Saccharomyces cerevisiae S288C: one gene and its partner. The main gene of each other region encodes a partner of the protein of the gene in region 2 in a complex. Each region holds a gene or a part of one and is shown on either strand. Other genes may lie near its edges. The genes, in order: RAD53 and ASF1. A codon is read from its position in the direction of its gene.

Region 1 (4,956 bases), on a different chromosome or scaffold from region 2:
GCAATAATGCTTTCAAGCTGAACATGTTAGTTTTGGTTTTTGTTTGAATTTTATTTGGATTAAATACTAGGTCACTAGGCTTTTTTTTTTTCTTTTCTTATAGAATTCTAATAGAAAAAACTTTTTATGAATACAGTAGGGTGAGATATACTTTTTGTTATTCTTCCCTTACGTGGTAGGCTTCTCAAATAAAAATAGAAAAGACCACTAAAATTTGATTATAAAGGCTTCGCTCAAAAAAGAAGAAGGTGGAATGAATAAATAGCAGCGAATTACCCAAACTTCTTTACTCTGTTCCCTTAACCAGTTGATAAGAGGTTACGAAGTACGGAAGTATGGCTTTTTATATAAATCCTAAAAAGGGCCGCCTCCGCCCCTTAATCCATCGACACCCGCAAATGAAATATAGTACCCGGAAGGCATAAGACGGGTTACAGCCTCTCCATAGATTCAATAACCGCTTTTGGTTATAGAAATAATCAGACCTCAGCAAATACAATTGAGGAGCTCAAGATATTGAAAACGGATTAACAAACTTTTTAAAATTATTTATGAGCTTGTTGTACCACATCAAGCAGGATTATGTTTTTTTCAGAACTTCTTTTTCTGATTCAAAAATTCATTAAGCATAACTAAAACTGAAAATCAAAACTTATTAATATACAAAAATCTATATATTTCAAAATGTAAATCGTATCAAAACGTCACTCTATATGTAATAAAAACCCAAAAAGTTATGAATAGATGAATTCTGAGTATTGGTATCTACCATCTTCTCTCTTAAAAAGGGGCAGCATTTTCTATGGGTATTTGTCCTTGGTTACGAAAATTGCAAATTCTCGGGGCCTTTTGAGGTTTGGTCCAATTTTGCCCTTTTAACCTTCTTACTAGGATCAATTTGTGATTGCGATAAACTTACCGAATGTATTCTCTTCAAAATGTTCCCCGTATTCGCATTAATCGGTGACTCTACCAAGTCGTTTAGTACCGAATTATTGCCGTTATTATTTGTATCGCTAACTGGCGGCTTCTTAGCCGACATTGATGAAGAAGAAGCCGAGGGTTGATTTGCACGTTGAGCTGCCATCATCTGGGTTAACTTTTTCACCAAATCTTTTTCTTCGGCTGTTTGCTTAAGTACTACTCTTTGTTCTTGTAACATACCTAATCCCTCGTTAAACAGACCTGTAGTATCGTTAATTTCCACTTTAAAGCCAATGACAAATTTATTGTTTTTATCCCAAATGATCTTGATTTCATCTCCGTCTTGTAAAAGGAATTTCGTACCCTGTATCATGCGGTTATTATTTAAATAGCTCACGTTAGTTCCGGTGTGGCAATACCAAATATCATCTAAACCTTGTGCCGGAGATTCATACATGCTTTTGCCTACAGCATGCCTCTTTTTGAAAATGAAGCAATGAACTCGAGACAACCTATTGTCTTCAATTTTACAATTGCAATCCTCGGATCTACCAATGAAAAATGGATTCACACCTTGCTGAATCTCCAGGCTTTCTTGAATAATGCTGTCAGGCAATGGTTTTAAAGTTAAAAACCTACCATTACCCTTTTTCTTTGAGCTCTTGACATTCTCAGTATTATTGGAATGTAAAAGTTTTTGTTCTCTAGTTTCTGCTTCAATGCTTTTGGGCTGTGTATATCGAATAGGGGCGTGTGCGGGTATTTTAAATCCTTGAATTTTTCCATCTTGGTCTTCCTGATCCTGTTCTTGAAGTTGTTGCTCCATTTGTAATTTCCTTTGCGCTTTGACAAATTCGTATTGAGCATCGTCCATATTTTCTAATAATTTCTGCTGCGACAACGATTGTGATAAGGATATTTGTGAAAAATCACCATATGATTGTGAGCCCAATGGACTCATCTTGATCCAGGGATGATTCAAGGCTTTTGCAGCTGTCGACCTATTATTTGGATCCACCTGTAACAATGAATCTATGAAATCTCTTGCTTCTTCAGATATCCGGAAATCTTTGAGGGGCCCTTCATGATATGAGCCTCTTCCAATCTGTTTATATAATTGGTCCTGTGTGCTACCACTAAAAGGTAAGTGGCCCGTTAGGATAACATACACAAGACATCCCATTGACCACATATCCACTAACGAAGAGTACTCATTCCTTTCTTCGTATTCATCAGGAGATACGGATGTATCTTTACCTCTGATGACTTCAGGTGCCACATATGCCAAAGTGCCACAGAAGGTTTTCATAAAAGACCCATTTCCTTGTACTTTTGCCAGACCAAAGTCGGTTATCTTTACCAATACAGGATCGTCTTGTTCAATAAGAATATTATCGGGCTTTAGGTCACGATGGCTGATGCCCATAGAGTGAATGTATTTTATTGCTGTGAGTATCTGCCTGGATATCTCCCTCCCAGCATCTTCTCCAACCGCACCATGAGCAGCAACAAAATCCATTAAGTCACCACCAGAAACGAACTCCATCACCATATAATAACTCTCAGTATCTTCATAAAATCCTTTCAATCGTACTATCCTTGGATGATTGAGCTTTTGCAATACTTCTAACTCTCTTGTCACACCATCCATATTGCCTATTACTTTGCGTTTACTTATAATCTTCACCGCGAATGTTTTCCCAGTAGTTCTTTCAATGGCTTTCTTTACTGTGGCAAATGCACCCTGGCCCACCACTTCGTCAATAATCGAAAAATCCTTAAAAATACCAGTCTTGTTGGCCACCATTGATGATGCAGTAGATGATGTAAGACCAGGAGAAGCTATTTTAGAGGTATTTTTCAGGTTAGATCTTATGCGATCAACTTTGTTCTGCTCGAGGCACTGCTTAAATTTGTCGTTTATGAAAATGACCAGAGATAAAATATCTGATTCCACGCCTACACCAACGGTTATTTCATCACCTTGAGACAGTAACTGATTGCTGTTCTTCTCGACTTTTTGCCCATTTAACCAGGTCCCATTAGTGGAAATGTCATTCAATAAAAGGTTACCGTCTTCTCCTAGTAGTATTTGGAAATGCTTATTTGACAGTCTTGAAATGTTTCCTAAATGATAGTCACAGGCTGGGTTTCTACCAAATGTCCAAACTTTCTTTATGGATCGTTTTTCCTTAAGCACTTGTGAAATATCAGCTGACAAATCTCGGATGGGAATTTGACCCGTGGTACAAATGACCCTGCACACAATGTTTTCGCCGATCTGTTCTTGAGAAAACTTCTCAATCAAAAACCTTTGAGTAGCCTGCGTGGATTGCTGTGTGGGTTGTGTAATATTTTCCATTTTTAGTTGATGTTGTGTAACACTATCTTTTCTCACTATTCTCTCTTTTAAAGCTTAAGAAAATCGAATGCATATACAAAATTAGTTTGTCTTCCAATAATCTCTACCGTCCTTTTCTGCTTTCTTACCTTTTCTTGATCAGAGATTTCAAAATGGTAACTTTGGTACCCTTTATCTTCTCAACCTGTACCTTTATTCTATAAATGTTTTCATTTCCAAGTCTACCCACGGTGATGATTTTTCTGCCAATTTTACGCGTCACTCCCGTTGCCGTATCAACGCGTCCACACCACCTCACCCTCGAAATGAAAATAAATATGTTAATAGATGCACGTTTCATTGACATCTGTGACAAACACTTTCCGGCTTAATTAAAAGGAAGCAGGCTATTAATGCACCAACCAAACAAATGATGGTTCACCTCACGCTGAAATCTCATCTAATAAAGGAAGAATTACTTTGGCATGCTTTATCTCCGTCCTATAGTTGCCGATACCACGGTAGATAATACAGTATCATTCTAAAAGTACCATTTAGGTAGGTGCTGAGCGAACCAATAAGTAAGTTTTTGTTTTTTCTCAGTGTTTGCTTTGAATTTACATTGAAATACGTTGTTTTGGACGTACTACAATAGCCGCCATAATAGATTTTCGGGTAACTTTTACACTCTTCCCTCTCTTTCACGTGAGTAAGCACAGAATAAAATCCTAACGGATGTGATAGAACAAAAGGGATATCAATGACAAGAGAGAGGTACTTTATGTTAGTCGCCTGTGCAGAAAGAACAGTCCATAAACAACAATCCGTAAAGAACAATATAAATATTTAGAAAAAGATGTTGCCAGAAAAGAGACTATTGACTCCAGACGATATGAAACTATGGGAAGAATCCCCAACAAGAGCTCATTTCACTAAATTTATTATAGATTTGGCTGAATCTGTCAAAGGACATGAGAATTCCCAGTACAAAGAACCAATATCGGAGTCAATAAACAGTATGATGAACTTGCTTTCGCAAATAAAAGATATCACTCAGAAGCACCCAGTAATAAAGGATGCAGATAGCTCGAGATTTGGTAAGGTTGAGTTTAGGGACTTTTATGACGAAGTTTCACGGAATTCCAGGAAGATCTTACGTTCCGAATTTCCCTCTCTCACAGATGAGCAGTTGGAACAATTATCGATTTATCTAGATGAATCATGGGGAAATAAAAGAAGAATTGATTATGGTTCAGGTCATGAATTAAATTTCATGTGTTTACTTTATGGACTCTATAGTTATGGAATATTCAATCTTTCAAACGATTCAACTAACCTCGTGCTGAAAGTTTTTATAGAATACCTTAAAATAATGAGGATACTAGAAACTAAATATTGGCTTGAGCCTGCGGGCTCTCATGGTGTTTGGGGATTAGATGATTATCATTTCCTTCCATTTCTATTTGGTGCCTTCCAATTAACCACCCACAAGCACTTAAAGCCGATATCAATTCACAATAATGAGCTCGTAGAAATGTTCGCTCATCGGTACTTATATTTTGGTTGTATCGCTTTTATTAATAAGGTCAAGTCATCCGCCTCCTTGAGATGGCATTCTCCTATGCTAGATGACATCAGCGGTGTAAAGACTTGGTCAAAAGTTGCTGAAGGGATGATAAAAATGTATAAAG
Region 2 (3,610 bases):
AAACGTATACGAGTTGTACATTAATATACGATGTAAGCATTAGATTGTTACCATAGCAACTCATGTCACTATTAATTACTCTCGTTCCAACATGATAATATAACTATTAGTTGATAGACGATAGTGGATTTTTATTCCAACATGTTCGTTCTGTTATGAAGTTGTTTCATATGTGTTTTATGAACTTTTAGGATGACGTATTGTCATACTGACGTATCTCACTTTGATAAACAACAATATCAATAATATTAGGGCGTGTGGCGTAGTCGGTAGCGCGCTCCCTTAGCATGGGAGAGGTCTCCGGTTCGATTCCGGACTCGTCCAATTTCTTTTTGTTCTCAACGACAATAATAAGAAAATCAACTTAAATGGAAAATATTACTGCCTTTTATTTTTTACGTAGCTGTTGCCCTAACCCGACTTTATCTTATGTCTGTTATTTTTTTATTTATACATTTTATAAAGTGTACCTCTCTTGCAGGTACCATTAATCTTATAACCCATAAATTCTTAATTCGTTGAACGTGCCGCATCCTTTGGAGTGGATTCAATATCCGTGGACCCCCCTTCTATTTTCCTCCTCTTCTTATCATTACCATCTTCATTCTTGTCTACAGACCCCACCTCTTCTTCTCCTTCTTCCTCATCGCCGTCACTATTTTCTATGTCTTCCTCCTCTTCTTCAAGATTCGTTTCGTTGTCTTCAGTCTTCTCTTCCTCCTCTTCTTCCTCCTCTGCCGCTTCTTCCGCCTCTCCCTCTCCATCTTCTTGATCGTCATCTTCGTCGTCTTCATCATCTTCATCGTCATCTTCTTCTTCATCGTCCTCCTCCTCTTCATCATCTACGCCGGGCTGTTCAGGTGGGTATAAATCCCCTTCATTTTCATTATCCCAAACAATGTTAAACCTTGTTACCCTTGGCTTTTCAGCCAGTATATTTCTTACAATATGATCTACTTGTACCTTTGCTGGCGGATTTTCTCTTAACTCTTCTTCATCGTACTCATTATTCACGTAGTAACCGACCCTAACAAACTCTCTCCCGTCATAAGAACAACTTAATAGAATAACAGTCACACTAACCAATTCACTCGCAGGAATCAGCTCGGCGGAGGGAGGGTCAGCAGAAAACACAAATTTATTAACACCTACGGGAACGGGGCCTACCAGAATGGAATCCAATTCCTGGTCATGGTCTAGAGAACGAGAGGACCCAACATAGGTTAGTTTCCACTCTAAGTCATGTTTTAAAGATTCTAAGCATTCAAAAGTGATTTCAAACTCATATGGATCAGTGAACTTTGCCGGGTTGTTTAAGACTTTGATGCCTAACAGTGAAACAATTGACATCTTTTCTATATCTTATGTTTCAATTGGATGGTAGGGAGAGTACGCTGTTACACTTTCGAGATTCTGTGAGCCTCTTACCTGTTTGGAGTTATTCCAAGTGTTAGTATTAAAATTGCAAGATTCATTTTTCCATCGTCGGTTGTACGCCCATTACATGAAAAAGGGAACAGATTTACGCGTTTAGGATGAGAAAAAAAAAAAAAGGAAAAAACGCGTAAATGAAAAGTTCTTTGTAGAACAGCTCTCTCTTAAACACATAGTAACAGCAAAAGACGCCACCAAGACAATATCCTGAAAATCGAAATTCTCGCCAAGGCATTACCATCCCATGTAAGAACGGAATAAAACAGCATTCGAAGGTTAGGTGTGGCACAAAGCCGATAAGAAAAAGAAAAGTAGTGAGGACAGGCTTAATTGAGCTAATTAAGGCGAAAAAAGGAAAAGAACTCGATAGAAAAACTTATTCATGAAGGAGACGTAAAGTCAGGCAAGGCTGCGGCATCATGTCTACTTGTCATAACTCAATTTGCCTATTTCTTACGGCTTCTCATAAAACGTCCCACACTATTCAGGGGAAGGCTACACGGAAACCCCAATAAAGGAAACGAAGAAGTGACCTTAGCCTTCGTCATCCGCGCCCACTACTCTCTTCCTAGTCGCCCGGTTGTTGAAAGTTTAATTGTGGGTTTTCTTTCACGACACACCTCACTGAAAAAAGAAACGAGCGGAGGAATAGTATGATAAATCTTCAGCATAGATGGGTAACGGGATCCCTCTGTGAGGGCCGATTATGCAGGCCTAGACCCGCACGTGACCACTTCGAGAGCAAGTTGCCTGCGAGTTTCTCTGCCCGAGGAAAAAGAAATGGAGGCAATTTACTTAATATGGTATGAGAGGATCTTTTGACGGCAAATAGATGCGCCATCTCCGAGAAAAAATCTAGACAATAACAGCGACAATTAACCTAAAGAGGATAGAAGATCGAGCAAAAAAATTTTTTTAATATGGGGTCAGTGGCGATATTATACTATAGGAGTTAAAGAGTAAGTTGAGTGTAAGGTGGTAGAATTATGATTGAACTCCGAAACTAAGCGCCGATTATGGGTGGCAAAGCGGACAGCTTTTGATATATAATCGATCGCTCTCGTAGTTGATATCCTCTCTCTTGCTTATCTTTTCCTGTATATAGTATATGTGTACATACAGATACGAATATACCTCAGTTAGTTTGTTTTAACATTAAATATTCAACAGTTGCCAGTAGCAAAAAGAATATATCCATTCATTTCGAGCTTTTTCGTCTCATTACTGATATCCAACTAACAGTCTCCTCATAGACGGTACCTTACTTTCCTTTAATATTATAATACTAGTATAGTCGCACATACTTAACTCGTCTCTCTCTAACACATAATGAAAATTTCCGCAGCTTTAATATTGTCTTCCCTTTCTTCTGTCGCATTTTCTGCCCCTGCACCTGCTCCAGCGGACAGTCACCATGAAGATCATCACAAAGATGAAAAACCAGCGGTTGTCACTGTCACTCAATACATAGATTCCAATGCCGCTACTAGTACTGTAGAATCTGCTGCTACTACCACTACATTGTCCTCATCTGAGAAGGATACCTCTGAACAGAAGCGTGATGGCGGATTCCAAGATGGTACTGTCAAATGTTCGGACTTCCCTTCTGTAAACGGTATAGTTTCCTTGGACTGGCTAGGATTTGGTGGATGGGCCTCTGTCATGGACATGGATGCCAACACTTCGTCCGAATGTAAGGATGGCTACTACTGTTCTTATGCATGTGAACCTGGAATGTCAAAGACTCAATGGCCTTCTGACCAACCAAGCGATGGTAAATCTGTTGGTGGTCTTTACTGTAAAAATGGTTACTTGTACCGTACCAACACTGATACCAGCGATTTATGTTCTACGGATGAAACATCTGCTAAGGCCATTAACAAAAAGTCTGACTCCATTGCTCTATGTAGGACGGATTACCCAGGATCAGAAAACATGGTGATTCCCACAGTGGTTGATGGTGGAGATTCACAACCAATTTCAGTCGTTGATGAAGACACTTATTATCAATGGCAGGGTAAAAAGACTTCTGCTCAGTACTATATTAACAACGCCGGTGTATCTGCAGAAGATGGGTGCATTTGGGGTACTTCTGGTTCGGATGTCGGCAACTGGGCTCCACTAGTGTTAGGTGCTGGTTCCACTAATGGAGAAACATACTTGTCGTTGATTCCAA

The links.
Region 1: the proteins of ASF1 (region 2) and RAD53 are in contact, whole or in part, in a crystal structure (PDB 2YGV), measured with the Saccharomyces cerevisiae proteins. Residues at the interface, in NP_012420.1 of Saccharomyces cerevisiae: Phe28 (codon at 1,269), Asp37 (codon at 1,242), Glu39 (codon at 1,236), Asp58 (codon at 1,179), Ser59 (codon at 1,176), Ile60 (codon at 1,173), Leu61 (codon at 1,170), Val62 (codon at 1,167), Gly63 (codon at 1,164), Pro64 (codon at 1,161), Val65 (codon at 1,158), Pro66 (codon at 1,155), Val67 (codon at 1,152), Val69 (codon at 1,146), Asn70 (codon at 1,143), Lys71 (codon at 1,140), Phe72 (codon at 1,137), Val73 (codon at 1,134), Ser75 (codon at 1,128), Asp77 (codon at 1,122); in NP_015172.1 of Saccharomyces cerevisiae: Val803 (codon at 880), Lys804 (codon at 877), Arg805 (codon at 874), Ala806 (codon at 871), Lys807 (codon at 868), Leu808 (codon at 865), Asp809 (codon at 862), Gln810 (codon at 859), Thr811 (codon at 856), Glu816 (codon at 841).

What each region holds. Positions count from the first base shown.
Region 1 is NC_001148.4:260,907-265,862, forward strand, and holds RAD53 (serine/threonine/tyrosine protein kinase RAD53), read right to left. Parts: upstream 3,287-4,956; coding exon 821-3,286; downstream 1-820. Other genes in the region: PEP4 (proteinase A), read right to left, coding at 1-25; YPL152W-A (uncharacterized protein), read left to right, coding at 3,696-3,794; peptidylprolyl isomerase RRD2, read left to right, coding at 4,122-4,956. UniProt on the Saccharomyces cerevisiae protein: Controls S-phase checkpoint as well as G1 and G2 DNA damage checkpoints. Phosphorylates proteins on serine, threonine, and tyrosine. Prevents entry into anaphase and mitotic exit after DNA damage via regulation of the Polo kinase CDC5.
Region 2 is NC_001142.9:194,027-197,636, reverse strand, and holds ASF1 (nucleosome assembly factor ASF1), read right to left. Parts: upstream 1,351-3,610; coding exon 511-1,350; downstream 1-510. Other genes in the region: SUN family protein NCA3, read left to right, coding at 2,764-3,610. UniProt on the Saccharomyces cerevisiae protein: Histone chaperone that facilitates histone deposition and histone exchange and removal during nucleosome assembly and disassembly. Facilitates histone deposition through both replication-dependent and replication-independent chromatin assembly pathways.